Stegostoma tigrinum: one gene and its partner. Each later gene encodes a partner of the first gene's protein in a complex. Links are inferred from orthologs where the notes say so. Each region holds a gene or a part of one and is shown in the gene's direction. Other genes may lie near its edges.

Evidence for each region.
Region 2: the proteins of gpr161a (region 1) and guanine nucleotide-binding protein G(olf) subunit alpha-like are in contact, whole or in part, in a cryo-EM structure (PDB 8KH4), measured with the Homo sapiens proteins. The link is inferred for Stegostoma tigrinum from reciprocal best matches to the Homo sapiens genes GPR161 and GNAL. Residues at the interface, in NP_001254539.1 of Homo sapiens: Arg125, Ala128, Val129, Leu130, Pro132, Met133, Tyr135, Pro136, Met137, Ile139, Ile211, Val214, Ala215, Lys218, Ala219, Lys267, Ala268, Thr271, Trp327, Asn328, Lys329, Arg332; in NP_001135811.1 of Homo sapiens: Ala41, His43, Lys203, Val204, Phe206, Phe363, Cys366, Arg367, Asp368, Ile370, Gln371, Arg372, His374, Leu375, Gln377, Tyr378, Glu379, Leu380, Leu381.

Annotation. Positions count from the first base shown.
Region 1 is NC_081365.1:41,728,828-41,738,195, reverse strand, and holds the start of gpr161a (G-protein coupled receptor 161), read left to right. Parts: upstream 1-5,263; 5' UTR 5,264-5,760; coding exon 5,761-5,782; exon of another isoform or gene 5,783-5,881; intron 5,882-9,368. UniProt on the Homo sapiens protein: Key negative regulator of Shh signaling, which promotes the processing of GLI3 into GLI3R during neural tube development.
Region 2 is NC_081358.1:116,702,045-116,710,860, forward strand, and holds the start of guanine nucleotide-binding protein G(olf) subunit alpha-like, read left to right. Parts: upstream 1-5,351; 5' UTR 5,352-5,612; coding exon 5,613-6,045; intron 6,046-8,816. UniProt on the Homo sapiens protein: Guanine nucleotide-binding protein (G protein) involved as transducer in olfactory signal transduction controlled by G protein-coupled receptors (GPCRs).

The DNA of each region.
Region 1 (9,368 bases):
TGGCAGGAAAGTGAGGGCATGAGGGTAGAAATGCAGGAGATGGATTGGCTGAAGACCCTGTCGGCCGGGGAATCCTGGGTTTCAGAAGAAGGTGTATATTTCAGGGACCCCCTTGTCAAAGTTGGCAGCATTGGAACAGATGTGATGGAGATGGAGGAACTAGGAAAATGAAATGAGCCTTTACAGGAAGCAGAGTGCAAAGATGTATCATCAAGGTAGCTGTGGGAGTTGGAGTTTATAATGGATATTGCTAGTCTATCCCCAGAAATGGAAATGGATGTCAAAGAAGGGAAGGGATGAGTGTGATGGGACAGGTAGAGGTGAGAGCAGAGTGTAAGTTGGAAGCAAAATTGATATACTTTTCCAATTCCGTGAAGAGGGAAGCAGCACTGATGTCAGCAATATACTAGAGAAGGCATTGCATGTGAGGCTAGAATAAGAGCGTAACAAGGAATTTTCCATGTACCCAGCAAAGAGGCAGGCATAACTGGTACCCATGGCCACACTTTTTTGATCTGAAGAAAGTTTACAGAGTTAAAGGAGGAGTTATTCAATGTGAGGACAAACCCAGCTGGGTATAGGAGCATGATGATAGATGGGGACAGTTCAGGCTTTTTTCCCCAGGAAAAAGCAGAGACTATCCTGATGGGGGATGGATATGGAGTGTTTGCACATCCGTGGTAAGGAAGAGGTGGTTGGAACCTGCGAACTGGAAATTCTGAAACAGATTTAAAGCATCAGAAGAATTGCAGATGCAAGTGGGAAGGGACTGGACCAGTGGAGTAAAATTGGAGTGTAGGAAGAGATGAGTTCTCTGGGGCAGGTGCAGGTAGAAATGGTGGGTCTGCCCAGACAGTCCTGTTTGTGGATTTTGGGAAGGAGGTAGAAGCTGGCTGTATTGTGTTGGGGTCTATGAGCTTTAGAGGCTTTTGGCAGGGAGTAGGGAGATCACCAAGATAATATAAGATTAATGACCATTGTGGACACAATTGCCTGGTGCTCAGTTGTGGGGTCATGGTCCAGGAGAAGATAGGAAGAGATATAAGAGCTGGTGCTTATCCTCCACAATGCAGATATCAGTCCACCAGACAATAATAGAGCCACCCTAGCGGTCAGGCTCGATTACAAAGTTAGGGTTAGGTCTGAGTGCACAGAGTGCAGTCAGTTCAGAGGGACAGAGGTTTGAATAGGTAAGTTACGTAGAGTGGGGCAGACAAATTGAGGCAACCAAGTTCATGTCGACAGTTCATGATGAACAGGTGGAGTGCCGGTAAAATGCTGGAGGGAGAATCTTGGTGGTGGGTGAAAGGGTCTGTGATACTCTTGTGCATGGAAATGTGTGTGGAGGCAAAGGCAACAGAAGGACAGTTGTACCTGAAATTCATTGTGGAATGCAGAGGAATAAAACTTAAGACCTTTGCTAAGCACAGCATTCTTTCATCATTTATGGGATGAGAGTGTCGCCACTAGACAGCGTTTATTGCTCATCCCCAATTGCCCAGAGGGCAGTTAAGAGTCAGCCGCATTGCTATGGGTCTGGAGTCACATGTAAACCAGACCAGGTAAGGATGGCAGTTTCTTTCCCTAAAGGACATTTGTGGATGGAATGGGTTTTTCTGATAATCAACAATGGATTCACGGTCACCTTTTAGAGTCTTAATTCCGGATATTTATTGAATGAAAATTCTATCATCTGCTGTGCCATGATTTGAACAGAGAACAGAGTGTCCGAATGGATAGCAAATACATGCCAGGAGGTGGGATTAGGAGAAATACAAATCTGGCAGCATCAATAGAGAGAAATATAGTTAATCTGTTGAGTGCAATAATTTCTTCATATCTGAAGAAAAAATATTGGTCTCAATTTTAACTCTTTCTCTTTTCACTGATGCTAACAGACCCATTAAATTTGTGCAGTTTTTTTTTGTTTATCATTTAACCAGAGTTTTCGTTGGAATTGTTGATGTATGTCAACTCTAATTTCACCAGAATTACAGCAGACAGTCTGTTTCTGTCAAGCAGGGCCTCTGCTGAAATTGGAAGTTTTGGTGATAGGCTGTTTGTTTCCCTTGCGTTTCTGGATAAATTAAAATCCAGGCCGTAAACATCTGTGGAATCTTCATGCTAATTTTTCTGATAATTTGCTCAGATTTAGGTACCCTGGCCTCCCCTGCTAAATTGGATACTAAATCTGAGTACTGTTGTCTGAGGTCAACCGATGATTTTCTTGTTCCATTCCACCTCTCCACAAATTGTGATCCCTCATTGATGTTCTTGTCATGTTTCAATTTGTCGTCAGTAAACCTGATTTTTCTCAAAAGACAGATGATAAAACTGGATTGCATGCATTTCATGCCTGGTGTACTTCGAAGCCAATATGTGGCCACTTGAAAAGTTACAATCATAAGGATTTTAAAAATTGCTATTCTTTGCACTATTTCAATTATATGCATCAGTACACTGAGACTGGATCCAATACGATTGTTTAAAAAAAAGTGGAGGGGAAAAACTATTATATTGAAGAACTCTGGCTGTAACCTAAACATTGAACTGCACTGAAGTTTTCACCTCAGCTGGTGAGTGCAACTATTTATAGCTACCAGCATTTTAATAATGGATACCAAATTTGTATTATTCTTTTAACGTCAATAGATAGAAAATGTGCTTTGATATTGAGAACCAGTATATACCTGAGGTATGGACATATAGTGCAACTAAAATGATTGTTCAATAAAGAATGACAACTACAAAATTGATTTTACATAAGATTACCATGTCAGTAGCTTTTAATTTTATTGATAGTACAACAATCTGCCTGGCTGTAATAGTACAGTAAAAAGTCAAGTCCCACTGGAGAGACTTAAACATGGAAGATTTGCAAGGAGTTTTCTTTTGTAAGAGGAGGGATTGGGATATTGGGATTAATTTCATAGCTCTATGAAAGAGCTGTATGATACTTGAACTTAACTGCAGTGACACCACAAAACCTTAAAATAAATAAGACTATTTATTAAGTGAAATGAAGTATTTTTGTCTCACTTAGCCCCTCTTGTTAGTCTTACAAGTTAGTTTTGGGTACTGTTAGAAAACGTTGTGATTTTAATGCCATGTATAAATTCAATTAACCTGATGTGTATAATGTACCAAGCACAGATATTAGTGCACATGATGAAAATGTCTTATGATGAAGTGATTGTGTATGAGTCTTGAAGAGTTGTGACACATGCTCCATTCTTAAAGTTGCTGTTTATTATTTATGCCATTAAGTATAAATATTTGTGTGAATGTACACTTTGCTGAATTTTCATGATTCAAAAACAAGCTATTTGGCAGAGTGCTGATGTTGTGCACCTTATTATTATTTAGAAGGTTTGGAATGAGTTGTCAGTCTTTCAGAAGTACATTTCTTTTTATATTGTTTTGTGGAAGGAAAATTTAGAAATGGCTGAAGACAAGAGTTTGACCTATTTTTAAATAAACTTAAAATTGTTGAGCAGTGAGCTATTTTGAGCAATAAATGGAAATCTGAAGGAGCAATTCCTCACATTTTCCCAATCAAGCTAATCTAGTTAGTGGCAAAAATCAATGAAGGAAGTATAATGTAAGATTAAAGCTCAGTAGTATTCACTGTCAAACACACCATTAGGTTATCATATCACTTATAAGCATCAGTTTCATGGTCTTGGATCTTTCTGCCATTTTGCTGGTGGAAATAAAGTAACATGCTTTGTTTTCTTGATTGGTCTTAAATGTCATTCCAACAACATGACATTTATTACATAGCCAGGAAAGATTTAATTTGCCAATATTTAACAGGTACCTAGTTCACACTCGCGTTTAATCAAGTAGATATTGGACAGATATCTAATTTATATTCATGTCAAATCTGCAATCTCATTCCAAGGCAGAATGATCAGAAAATTCAGCTGATGTACTCATAAGCCAGTAATCAAAATAAAATCTTGTTGCAAAGTAACTGTCTCAAATATTTGCGCAACATTATCGATAAGAGCTCATTTTGCAATATTTGTAATTCAAAAATGAATAGAGACCTTCACTAGATCAGGACAAAATAAGATTATTTGGCACAATGAGAAATCCTTTAAAGGATAAGCAGATTCTGTCCTTTTCCATGAGGAAATGAAAAACTCGCTCCCAAATTTGTGTGTAACCATGTAAGACCATAAGACATAGGAGTGGAAGTAAGGCCATTTGGCCCATCAAGTCCACTCCCCCATTTAAATCATGGCTGATGGGCATTTCAACTCCACTTCCCTGCACACTCCCCATAGCCCTTGATTCCTTGTGAGATCAGGAATTTGTCGATCTCTGCCTTGGCAGTAGTGTCTAGGAATGTGCAGGCTAGGTGGATTAGCAATGGAAAATGTGGGGTTACTGGGATTGGGTAGGATGCTGTTTGGACGGTCAGTGTGGACTCGAAAGGTCGAATGGCCTGCTTCCACACAGTAGGAATTCTACAATTTTGTGTGGACGGCCTTTCAGTTTGAAAATGAGTACTCTGCTACAAGTATATATTTTTTAAATTTTATGATAACACAGTCAAATGGGTTTGTAATAAATCTTAAAATCAAGAAGCTTAAACTAATGTCAGTCATCCAAGTTTACACAGTAACATTAAAATAAACTGCAGTGCATTTTTAAGCCAGTACAGAAATATTTCTTGAATCAAATTGGTTTGCATTAGTGAGAATGATCTGTCTCAAAACAGTTAAATTATGTTGTGATTAAACCTATGGTTTGCCTTTTCAAAAAGTGGTACTGCCTTGGTGCTGTCTAATTCTGAGTACGAAGATCCTTAGCACCTTCCAAGCTCCCACAACCACTTCTACACAGAAGCATTTGGGCAGTAGATACACGGAAACTCTACCAGCTACAAGCGATTCCTGTGCCTCTCCTTCAGTGTCACCGGGTCGAAATCCTGGAATTCCCGCACCTTAATGTTGTTATGTGTCAACCCAAAGCAAAGGGACTGCGCTCTTCAAGTAGTCAGCTCAATAAACTAAAATCTTATATATTCTCTGCATCCTACTTTAAACCAGCCGATCAATAACTGAAATGGGTCGCCGATTAACTAAAAATGTTGTGGTGAGGATTAAGTGAGTTTCGCCTTGATAGGCTGAAGTGGGGAAACGGCAATCGGGGTACGTAGAAACGTGAATAATGATCCGCCATAGTAGCATAAATTATGGGGGTTCCCTGCTGTGATTGGTGTGCCTGGGAACACGGGAAGGGGTGTGGAAACTTGCGGGAATGTTTGATCTCGCTGGGTGCTGAATGAGTTGTTAGTCATGAAGTGGACAGAGCGGTCTCGCGAAACCGAGTGGGGGGGAAAAAGGAGTTTTTGAAACCTTACATTTAACTGCACCCTGTCTAGAAAATGTAGGAGGAGGAACGGGGCGGTTCCGTATTTCACAAACTTGTACACAAAAAAACTTTGAAACGTGTATGAAATTGATATTTAAAGGGAAAACAGGGCGGCCGATTGCTGTGTCGGGCCGGTTCCCGGGTGGCAGTGGAAAAGTTTGCTCGTTTTGTGTTGACTGCGTGCCCCTTGTCTAGTGTTTTGAGAGGCAGACCACCCACAGCGTGAGCTAGGATCGTCTCTCAGCCCGGCGCCATTGCACACCACCGCTGCTTTGTGCAACGCAGGATTTTGGGAGGGGGAAGCGGGAGAGCAAACAAGAGGGAGAGGGGGGAAAAAGCCTCATAGAAGACATGAACAAATCTGGAAACATATAAATGAATGGAGTGCGTGCAGAAGGTGAGACCTGACATTAATGAAAATTTTACTTAGCGAGGGATGAAGAGGAAAAAGTGAAAGCAGCGAAGTTCCTTTGAGTTGAGGAGACAAAGGGAGCTGGTGAGTTAATTCAGTATGTGGTTTGGAGACTAAAAAAGGAAACTGCTTCTGTTAACTGTTATTTCTTCAAACTTCTTCATAAGGAACTTAAACAGCAGCATATCCGTGGCTGAGCTGAACAAAAGGCGATTTATTATGCGGCCTTTCTTTTACAAAGTGCAGAGGGGAATGAAAGTGAACTCGACGCAGTGGGGAGGGGTCGTTGCTTGTCGAAAGCAAAGCGCTGTTGTTGCCTCAAAGCAATCCGTAGCAAAAAAGAATGTGTTTCCTGGTTATTTTAAAGAAAGCGAAGGATCGGACGGATGGATGTCTGGCCGCCAGAAGGAGGAAAGACTCCGTTTTGATTTTGGACCGGGGCAAGAGATGGGGTTGGATAGAGGTGGTTGGCATCATCCCGTGAATTATGCTCGGGCCTTTACCCCAGAAATAGAACACAACGTTGCAGTTAAAGAACAAACCTGACTTGAAAAAGCTAGCATTGGGATAAATCACGTTCATGTTATTCTGGTCGTAAGCAAGAACGGCTGCAAAGTACCCTTGCATTGATTTCCCACCCGCCTTCTCAAGGACCATTCCCTTTCCCACTTCCCACCAACCATTCCCACCCATGTGGTGCCATCCCTGTAACTGTAAAAGATACAACATCTGCCCACACACCACCCACCTCACCTCCATACAGGGCCCTAAACATTCCTTCCAGGTAAGACAGACTTTCTCCTGCATCTCCTCCAACCTGGTCTCCTGCATCCAGTGCTCCTGACATGGTCTTCCCTACATTGGTGAGAACAAACAAAGACTAGGTGACCATTTTGCTGAGCATCTTAGTCTGGCCTGTAACAGCCAGACAAACTGCTCGGTCATCACCTGTTTCAATTCCTCCCCCTGACATGTCCATCCTTGGCATCCTCCCATGTCGCATTGACTCGGAATGCCAATTTGAAGAACAACACGCTCTCTCTTTCGCCTGGGCACCCTACAGCTTGGAGGACTTCACATTGAATTTGCCGATTTCAAATAAACTTTCCAGCCCCACCTACTGACCCTGCCTTCCAGCTACCAATCAGATTCATCCCTCCCACTGACCAACCAGATCATACCATTACCAGAGTCCGCCCATCGCCACCACTCTGCTATGCCCTCCCCTCTTTATTGCGGCTCCCCCCTACCCTGCATCCAGTCCTGAAGAAGGGTAATACCCGAAATGTTGACTTTTCCTTTCCACCAGATGCTGCCTGGCTTGCTGTGTTCTTCCAGCCTCCTGTTCGTCTACCCATTTATCCGTGCCAGTTTTCTCAAGATAAAGAAAAGACACCTGATTATTTCTTCCCCATCTTAATTCTCATCTTGGTCCCTGACTTGCTGTGATCCCCCTTTAATGATTCAAATGACCTTTTAACCAAAAAGAGCTCTGATTTCTTTCAGCAGTCCCAGAATAATTGTGAGCAGTTGTGAATGCTTAAAACCTAATGTAAGGTGTTAGTGACCTGTATATCTTGAAAAGGAAAATCCTTGAATTCATCTGTATTAGCTCTTAAAATAGTCACAGAAAAGTAAAAGTTGGAATTGAAATAATTCTGACCACATGCATTGATGTCACTTTTTTAACACAGTGAAATATCCAGAGTGATTGACAACATGGTCAGAAAGAAAACACCCAGCCAAGGGGAGGATAACATCATTAGGATGTTATTACGATGTGGAGTGTCATTAGAAAATGACACTTTGAGGGGATAAAGCAGTTGGCTTAAGACTGGCTCAAAACTTGGGTTTAAGGGATTTTAAAGAAGGAAAGAGAGGTAAAGGAGCTTGTAGGGAAGAAACACCGGTGTTCAGGCCCAAAGAAGTTCAAGGTGCAGACAGAAATGGTGTTGAAAATATTTGGGAGGGCAGAATAACGTGAGTAAGGCTTTTTCCAGGATTGTAGGGCTGGTGGAAGTTGCAGAGTTGGAAGTGGCCATGATGAATTTGAAACTAATAAATTTTAAAATTGAGGTCTTGCTTAAGCAGAAGTCAAAGTAGGTCAGTAACCACAGAGGGTAATAGATGACTGGGGCTTAGGATAGGGGCAGTAGAGTGATAGATGACCTCAAGTTAATGGAGGGTTGGATGTCGACATGTGGCCAGGTGTTTGTTGGAATAGTCAGGTGTCGAAGCGAAAAAAGGCATGAATGTATATTTCAGCAGCAGAGTTGGAGCAAGGCCATATGATATGGAGGTGGAAAATGAATTTTTAATAATGTGTAGATATGGCTGAAAGCCAGTCTTGAGGGCAGTTGTGACATTGAGGCTCTGACCAGATCAGAGTTATGAGACTTAGTAGAGGGAGAATCATATAGCAAAGAAACAGACCCTTTGGCCCAATTCATCCATGCTGACCAGGTTTCCTGAACTGAATTAGTCCAATTTGCCTGCATTTGGCCCATATCCATCAAAACCTTTCCTAATTGGACAGATATATCAGTGTTTTTTAAGTGTTGTAATTGTACTTGCCTCAATCACTTGCTCTGGAACCTTGTTCCATATGTGTATCACCCTCTGTGTCCCTCAGGTCTCTTTTATATCTTTCTCCCCAAACATTAAAACCACGTCCTCTTGTTTTGGACTCCCCACCCTGGGGAAAAGACCTCTATTATTTACCTTATCTATACCCCTCATGGTTTTATTAACTTCTAAGGTCAGCCCTCAGCCCCCTACTCTCCAGACAAAAAAAAGTCCTAGTCTATCCTTATCACTCAAACCCTCCCGTCTCAGTGATACCCTTATCATTTTTTTTTGCACCCTTTCCAATTTAATAACATGCTTCTGTAGTAGTGTGACTAGTATTATATGTGGTACTCTAAATGTGGCCAATTCCTGTACCCAGTGCTCTTACCAATGAAGGCAAGTGTGCTAAATGCCTTCTTTGCCACATTGTAACCTATGATGCCACTTTGAAGGAACTATGCACCTGCACCCCTAGGTTTCTCTCTTCGACAACATTCCCCAGGGCACAACCAGTAACTGTGTAAGCCGTACTCTGGTTTGTCTTACCAAAGTGCAATGCCATTGCATTTATTTGCATTAAACTTCATCTGTTACCCAACCCACTGGCTCAATTGATCAAGATCACACTGTACCCTTGGATAAATCAGCCTTCTTAAACAGCTGTGATACACCCTGGGGCAGGTGGAACTTGAACAATCACAATTGTTATAGCAGCAAGAGGGAATTTGTACCATCCTGCCTGTGCCAGTTCTTAGGGGAGGCACAGTGGTATTATCACTGGACTGTAAAACAGAGACCCAGGTGATGATGTGGAGATCTGGGTTTGAATCCTACCACAGCAGATGGTGGAAATTTAATTTAATAAATATCTGGAATTATGATTCTAATGATGACCATGAACCCATTGCCGATTTTTGGAAAAACCCATCTGGTTCAATAATGTCCTTTAGGGAAGGAAGCTGCCATCTTTACCTGGTCTGGCCTACGTGTGTGTGTCTCCACA
Region 2 (8,816 bases), on another chromosome or scaffold:
TCGCTAGCCACAAAGTACTCCCCGACTTTTACTTCAGTGACCTGCCCTGTCTTATTGCTAAAAGGTCTAGTCTTATTCCTTCTCTGGTAAGAGCATCTACATATTGATAAAAAAAATTTCTTGAACACATTTGACAAATTCTTCACCATCCAGACCTTTAGCACTATGGTAGACCAAGTCAATGTTTGGAAAATGTAACGCCCCCACCTCCCCCACCATTATTACAATCTTGTTATGCTTACATATATCTGAGATCTCCTTATATACTTATTTATAAATTTTTCTCTTAGTATTTGGGGGGGGGGGATACCATAGTACAATCCCATTAAAGTGATCTTTTCTTTCTTATTTGTAATTTCTACCCAGATATTTTCACTGGATGATTTTTCAGAAATATCTTCACTAGTTACAGCGCTAATGTATTTCTTAATCAAAAATGCCTCCACCCCCCTCCTTTTTTGCCTCCTTTACAATGCTTCCTATAGCATCTAAACCCTGGAAAATTGACCTGCCAGTCTTATCCGTCTATCAGCCAAGTTTATAGTAGCCATGATGTTCCAATCCCATGTTCTTAAACATGCCCTGAGTTAATCAGCTTTAACTGTAAGACCCCTTGCATTGAAATAACTGCAATTTATTCCTCAGAGTTACTGCACATTCTGATTTTCTCTTGTCTTTGATTTCCAATTGATGTGCTCTCCTCACATTCAGTACCTTCCCTTTCAATCCTTCTGTTTAAAATAATACTTAGAATTTCTCCACTCCCCCTCACTATCAGAACAAAATCCTCCTTAAAGGAATGAGGATATCTACCTGCTAAGATATTGGTCCCTTTCCAGTTTAGGTTAGATCCATCCTTTTTTGAATAGGTCTTTGCGATCCTAAAAGAATTTCTAATTGTCCAAAACCTGAGTCCCTGAACAATACACCAACATTTCAGCCTTTCAACCTTTAACCTTTTGCTCCTTCCCTTGTTTGAGTTTGGCATTTGGAGTAAACCAGAAATTTCTATTTTCAAGATTCTATTTTTCAATCTTCTACCTAACTCATAAATTCACTCTGTCCTGCTTTAACCTTTTCCTTAAAAATGACATTACGACCAATGTGTACAATAATTTCTGGCTTCTCAATCTTACCTTTAACAATATGCTTGAAATGTTTGGAGATGCCTTTATTCTTAGCACCAGGAAAGCTACAAATCTAAATTAACGTTCACTGCCACAGAATCTTCTGTCTATATTCCAGACAGGAGAGTCCACTATAACAATAATTCTATTAAATCTTGTGAAACACTGCCTAACATAAGAATTGTTCCAAGTGTCCAATAACTGACTGGTTTTTCCATTTTCCTCACAGAGACTATCTCCTTCTACAGTTCCAAAAACTGAATATCAACTTGATAGAGGAATAGCCACCGGAAACTTTTGAACCACCTCCTCACCTTTCCTGACAGTTACCTAGCTATCTGACTGATCCTGCTATGTAGTAACTTTTCTAAATCTACTAGCCATCTCACTCATCTATGCCCTTAATAACATTAAGCCTAAAAAAAGTTTTAATAACACCTTGTATGTAAAATAAACTACTTTCAACTACCTCCAGAAAATAATATTAAAATGGAAAAAATTGAAAATCTATATATCAAACATAAAAAACTTAAATAAAATCAACCAATTAGTTGATTAACTGAATTTAAAAAAAGTTTCTCTCCAATAAATTCTTTGAAGAAAAAAAATCATCTCCAGAACCAACCACATGTAGAACTCTTGAAATGAAAATACAACTTCGTATTTTAAAAAAATTTGGTCTTTCAATAAAATTGCCTTTGCAATGTAAACAAAAACCCTCAAAACCTTCGTAATATGAAAATTACCCTCTAAAACATGTATACAATTTTTAAACTTCTGAACTTAGAATAAAAAAACTTAGCTGTTCACTGTGACGCGTAAAAACTTGTTTAAAAATAAAGTTTCAGAGATAGTGGGGACTGCCGATGCTGGAGAATCCTAGATAACAAGGTGTAGAGCTGGATGAACACAGCAGGACAAGCAGCATCAGAGGAGTAGGAAAGCTGGCATTTCGGGTCTAGCCCCTTCTTCGAAAATGCCAGAAAATTTTCTGAGAAGTATCTAGACCCGAAATGTCAGCTTTCCTGCTCCTCTGATGCTGCTTGGCCTGCTGTGTTCATCCAAATCTACACCTTGTTATCTCATTTAAATTGTGATTTTTTAAAATGTTGATGAAACAAAATGAATAAAGATCTTATTATTAAAATACAATGACTGCAATAACAACAAAATAAAAACTGTGATAAACCTTTAACTAAGCCTACAATCCCAGAAGCAGATGTGAGATCTATGCTGCAGCAAAACGCAAATTTCTTTATCTTGAATGGATGAACAGAAATGCTGAGACTGACTTAAAGACTTACTCAAGAATTCTGAGGTGTAGAGGAATTTGGTGTTCTGGCATACTTCTCACAAAAAGTTAGTATGCAGGTGCAGCAAGTAAATAAGGCTAATGAAAGACTGAGTGAAACATAAAATTAGGGATATTAAGCTTCAAGTATACAGGACACGAGTGAAACCATTGTGTGCAATTTTGGTCTCCTTATTGAAGGACAGACGTAAATGCATTACTTGTTCAGAGGAGGTTACTAGGTTGATATCTGGAATGAGTAGATTGTCTTATGAGGAAAAGTTGCACAGCAGAGAATTGTTTTCATTGGAGCTGAGTGTGAGGGGAGAGTTAATGAAGTGTATAAGATCCTGAACACTGCTGACAAAGTGGGCACAGATTGGATGGTTTCTCTCAGGTGGATACAGAACTAGCAGATCATTGTTTTAAACTCGGGGCCTCCCTATTAGAACTTAGGTAAAACATTTTTGATGGTTTTAGAACAGAAAAACTAGTAGCAGGAGTGGGCAATTCAGCCACTCAACCCTGCTCTGCCATTTGATATGATTGTGGGGTTATTTCTGCCTCAACTCTTCTTTTCTGCCCTCCCCATAGCTCTTCAACCTGTGACTAATTAAAAATCTGTCCATCTCATCCTTATATTTACTCAATGCCCTGGAGACCACTGCACTTTGGGGAAGTTGACTTTGTGACATTGGCATTCTGCCTCAGAAGGCAGTTACAGGATTAGAGATTCATTTAATCTCTTTACTTGTTCAGAGGAGGTTACTAGGTTGATATCTGGAATGAGCAGATTGTCTTATGAGGAAAAGTGGCTCAAAAGAACTTTGCAAAGTTCTCACCTACTTCTGTATATTGGTTGGCACAACTTTCTTGCTTTTATACCCATGCCTCAATTAACAAAGTCAAAAATCTCATCAGATTCGTTTTTAAACAGCCTACTCAACTTGTCCTGTCCCCTTCAATGATTTGTGCACACATTGTAGGTATTTCTGTTCCTGCACTCGCTTCTCAATTCTATCAATTATCTCATTGCCTAACCTATTCTTTGTATCAAAATGTATCGCTTCACATTTCTCTACATTAAATTGTACTTGTCACCTGTGTTTCCATCTAATGATTGCAGACAATATTTTCAGTGCCGCTGGGATGGATATTTCAGCTCCGGTTTTTTCCGGTATCCTTGCTTTATATGCTGAATATCTGGTGGGGTTTGTTTAGAAATTAATAGTGACGACTATGCAAAACAATGTTATGGCATGTCAACAGCAGGGAATCAAAATTGCCTTCTGTCGCAAAGCTAGCAGAGAATGGGGCAACGTTTGGATATTTTGGATGTGAGTTTGCAACTCTAGTGACTCGCTAGCAAAACTCGTTTGGATATTTAGCTATACACCTGCCCCTCTCCTGAATTTGTTGCACGATTCATTCACAAATAATTGCAAGCACTATTAGCCTCACGGGAAAAAAAGAATTAACAGCAAAATCGGGCTCAACACTTAACTGTGTTTACAGCAAACAGGAGTATGGTGCCATAGCAAATACTAAACAAGTCACATGATATTTCTAAAGATACCACGCCTCTTTTATAAACTTCTGTAACCCCAACCAATTAAACAATGTCTAAACTTAAGGCACTTCTCTACAAGTGGTTGTGCTTGAAATGTGTCGGAAATATCTTATTGCAAAATTATAATCTGCCTCACGCAATTGATATGATTTCTAGATTGATTACACCAATTAAATAAGTTTGAAAGTTGTACAAAACACTTCCTTGCTCGCCAGGATAAATATGTGAAATTCCAAAATGTACTTTCCCCCCAATCCTCAACCTTACGCAGATGTGACATATTGGATATACACAGGTAGCAGGTCAGACAGCACCCGAGAGGAGGTCTTGATGGTCCAGACTTCATTAAAAAATTAAAACACGATCAGTTATCTTTGATTAAAGCAAAATGTTGTAGGTGCTGCAAATCTGAAATACGGACAGAAAATGATGGAGAATCTCAGCAGGTCTGGCAGCATCTGTGGAGAGCGAGAAATAGAATTAACATTTTATGTCTAATATGATTTCGGGTTCCGAAGAAAAGCCCTATTGAACGTAAAACGTCAACTGTTTCTCCAGCACATTTTTTTAAATGGCAGTTATGTTTGACTGTTTTGCATAATGTTATACCTACATGGCTCCGCTATTTCAGGATCATTCTGTGAAGTATTTACCCATCTGTATTTCATATTGTAATTTTCAGCTCGATTACTAATCGGATTTTTTATACTTTTTGGTTGTTTTAAATGCCCGTCAAAAGCAACATTAAAGCCTGTATTTTCTAGTTACATTCTCTCTCTCTCTGGTGGGGGGAAATAAAAAAACCTTTTGTTGCTTGAGGCCTTTTTGATTTTTGTATTCAGGACACCGAGATCCGTTTTTAGCTGGATTGAGTAATGAAGGAAATTCCACCGTCAAGTAATGATTATTTTTAAAACCCAAAATATCATTCACTCAGAAGAATTCCCCCTTTCGAGCACCAGTTTCCTCTTTGGTGTAGCTTATGATTTACGAAAAACAGTAAGGGGGTTCGGAGCGATTTGAGGGGAGTTTCAAAAGATATTCTGTCATGGGGTGTAATATTTATGTCGATCGTGACGGCGGTGTGTTATTCCTCCACGGAATTCATGAGGCTGTAAATAAATCAGTACAAATGGTGTGGTCTTCCAGTGACTTGTGCGTCTTCCAAGTAAAAATGATTCCCGAGGACAAGCGAGGTCCACCAGGAGAAAAGGGAGGAAATTGAAGGGAAGATAAATGAAGTGCTGGGGAGGGGAGATGAGGTTGGAGAAGGTCGAATGGTTTGGCTGTGGTTCCAGGAGCTGGGCTGTGTGTTTGGAGGATTTACGGTAAGGTGGACCACTGGCCACTGGGATCAGGTGATTTACGAGTCTCGAACGCCGTATCTGCTTGTGCACAATGGAACATTGGGGTTTTTAAACCATTCTGTCTCTTCCTTATATTTTGTGTTTTTTTTGGGGGGGGTGGGGAAAATTGGGAGGAGGTTGTGGGAGTGGGAGATAAAGGACAGTAAGCGCCAGCTGCATTTTGGTGGGTGGGATTGGGAAGCGTGAGGATGAAGCGCTGATCAAAGCGGTTTGTTCAAGGCCCTGTGTTGGGGGTATTTGCCTGTGTCTGTGGAAACATGGGGATGTGCTACAGCCTGCGACCGCGGCTGTTCAGCGACCCCATCGCGTCAGTGTCCACCAGCAGCCCGGACTCGGAGCCTCCGGCGGCGGCGGCGGCGGCCCCGGCCCCGGCCCCAGCCCCAGCCCAGCAGCGGGGGGACACGGCGGAGCGGCCGCGGAGCTCCGACTGGCTGCGCGATGGTCACCAGCCCCAGGCTCAGCGCAGGGACACGGACAGGCTCCGCGACTGGCAGCCGCAACAGAACGGCGGAGAGCGGCAACACGGCGCTAAGAAAGCAGCCTCCGAGAAACAGAACAAGAACTGGGACAGGCTGCGGGCGGAGGAGAAGGAGGCGGAGAGGGAGGCGAAGAAAGTCAGTAAATACATCGACAAAATCCTGAAGGAACAGAAACGCGAGTACAAGCAAACGCACCGTCTGCTTCTGCTGGGTAAGGTCATATCAATGTAAGGGCCGTTCCCTCTGGGGAAAGGTGACTTATTAAAGCACAGGGAGAGGCTGGCATTTCATGGTCGGTTTGCATGTTTTCCACGTGTTTTGTGATAAACGACTATGGTTTTGACGGCACACTCTAAAATTAATCATTTCATTCATCCCTGTCTCGAAGTTTGCGGCAAACATTTAAGCTTGCTTCTCCAGAATGTGTACCAAAAACGGTATCAAATTAGCACTGGCCAATTTGTAAACTGCCAGTGCAGTCAATCATATATTTAAGGGAAAAAAAACACTGAACTGTCTAAAGGATGTGACTGGCAGGGTTAATGACGATTTTGTCACCTTGTTCCAGCTTACTTTTTCATGTCGCTTTGCATCATCGGACTTGACCATATTGCACAGACATTACAGCCCATGTTACATTTAATGACTTGGCTGAAAGCAATGAGCCTTGCAAGCGTCCTGTTAGTAATGAAGGACAACCAAAGAATATAGTGTTCTTGGATATTAAAACGTGCTCCAGGAAAGATGTTTTGCACAAGTTAAGGCCTGGCAAGTTAGAATGCCACACTGATGTGGGCAGACCCTTGGCTAAAGAGATTCGATTAGGATTACAAAGGTCTTTGAAGAGTCATGCTGGATTTGAAGCAGTAACTCTGTCCACATTGCTCCAGCATTTGTTTCACACCTTTTTTAATGTTAGCAGCCTGTTACTAACAGAATACTTGCAAGGGTCATTGTTTGCACCCAAGTCATTAATGTTACAAGGATTGTAAGGACTGTGTAATGTGACCAACTCGGGTGATGATACAAAGCTACGTTGAAAAGTAAGCTGTAACAAAATAACAAAATCTGCAAATAAATTAGGTTGTGACTGAGCAAAAGGCGTTGGATAGAGTAAATGTGAGAGAAATGAGGTTTTCACTCTCTAGTAGGAAAATAAAGTATATTTTTAAAAATAAGTTACTGTTAATAATTGAGAAAGATGCAGTGGCCTTGCATGGGACACACAAAGTTTCATGTACAGCACGCAGTTAGGAAGACAGATGGCATACTGTGAGGAGAGTGAAGTTATGCTGCAGTTGTATGGGGCTTTGTTAAACCATATGTGGAATCTGGAGTCTGATTACCATATCTGAGGAAAGGTGTGTGTGTGTGTGTGTGTTAGAGGAATTGAAATGAAGCCCCACTACATTGACTCAAAAATCAAAGTCTGTGCAGAAAGATTGATTAGAACCTGCCTATACTTCTGAGAGTTTATAAGAATGAGAAGTGATCTCATTTGAAATTTTATGATTGTGAGGGTTTGTTCAGGTGGTTGCTGAGAAACTTGAGAATACAGTACCTGCAAGATAAGGTGTTAGCCGTTTAAGACTAAGATGAGGAATTCTGTCACTTGGAAGTTTGTAAATCTTTGGAATTTGTTACCCCCCCCCCCCCCCCAGGGCTGTGGTTGTTCAGTTGTTTAGCATATTGAAGGCTGAGGTGGTGAGACTTCAGAATCTAATGCCATGTGGAGATCAGTGGAGAGAGTTGAATTGAAGCTGAAGATCAACCACCATCATGTTGGATGGCAAAGAAGGGTCAAGGAGTCATGCAGCTCATTGTTCCTCTTCAGTTAAAATGAAGAACTACTGATTGCTAGAAATCTGATTCAAAAACAGAAATTGCAAGAGAAACTCAGTAGGTCTTTCAGCATCTGTGGAGAGAAAGAAGAGTTAACATTTCGGGTCCAGTGAGCTGTCTTTAGAACTAGTGGATTCTGGAGAATGGTCACTTGACTCAAAACACTCAATCCAGTTTCTTCCCTCAGATACTGCTAGATGTGCTGAGTTTCTCCAGCAGTTTCTGTTTTTGCTCCTTGTCCTAACTGTATTTTCAACATTCCCAATGTATTTGGAAAGACCAGTTAATCTTTAGATCAAATATTTGAACATCAGTTTGTCTTTACTAATGGGCCTGTTATGTTTCTAATATTTTTGAATACCAATACCAAGACTGGCTCTCTGGGAAAATTGAAAAGTTGTATTTGAAATGATTCTGTTCTGCCTAGCATACTTGCTTCCGTTTTCCACTGAACCTTTAAATAGATGTAAACAATATTAATTTTTGATTAAAGACAGCAAATATGCAAATGAAGTTTGCACATATGCTTCGGGATAAAACCTACTTGCTAAATGTAAAACTTTGTGCAAGGGTACCACTTCCCTCTGAGCTATTTAATAGTTTCTCACCATTTAAAATAACTTCACATTCTTCAAAACATAAGGCCCTGTTTTTCCCTTTCCGGAAAGCCAAGTCTCAATGATCTTTCTACTGCAGCATTTAACCATTTAAGAAATTCCAGGGACTTGTTATCGCCTACTATTTTTAGCAATGTATTTCACTTGTTGATTTTGTGAGAGTTGATACTTCCTGATGTAAGCCCTAGGCATGCCATTCTCCTGGGATGGATGAATTATATTACAGGGTAATTAGGGGAGGAGAATTTGTGAAATAGTCATGGTCATTTTGCGGAAGATAAATAACAGCTAACAAATAGATCTTGCCAGAACTACCTCAGACATTTTTTGGGAAATAAGCAATACAAATTGATGAGGTTACTGACATATTGTTAATTGTGTCATGCAAGGAATTCACAGTCTAATGTTATTGTGAAACGTGAGAGAGAGAGAAAATGTGAATTTGTGACATGTCACAGGAAAAGTGCAGAAGCAATTCCTATGATGCATTGAGTCCAAACAAGCAGGAGAAATGAGTAAAGTG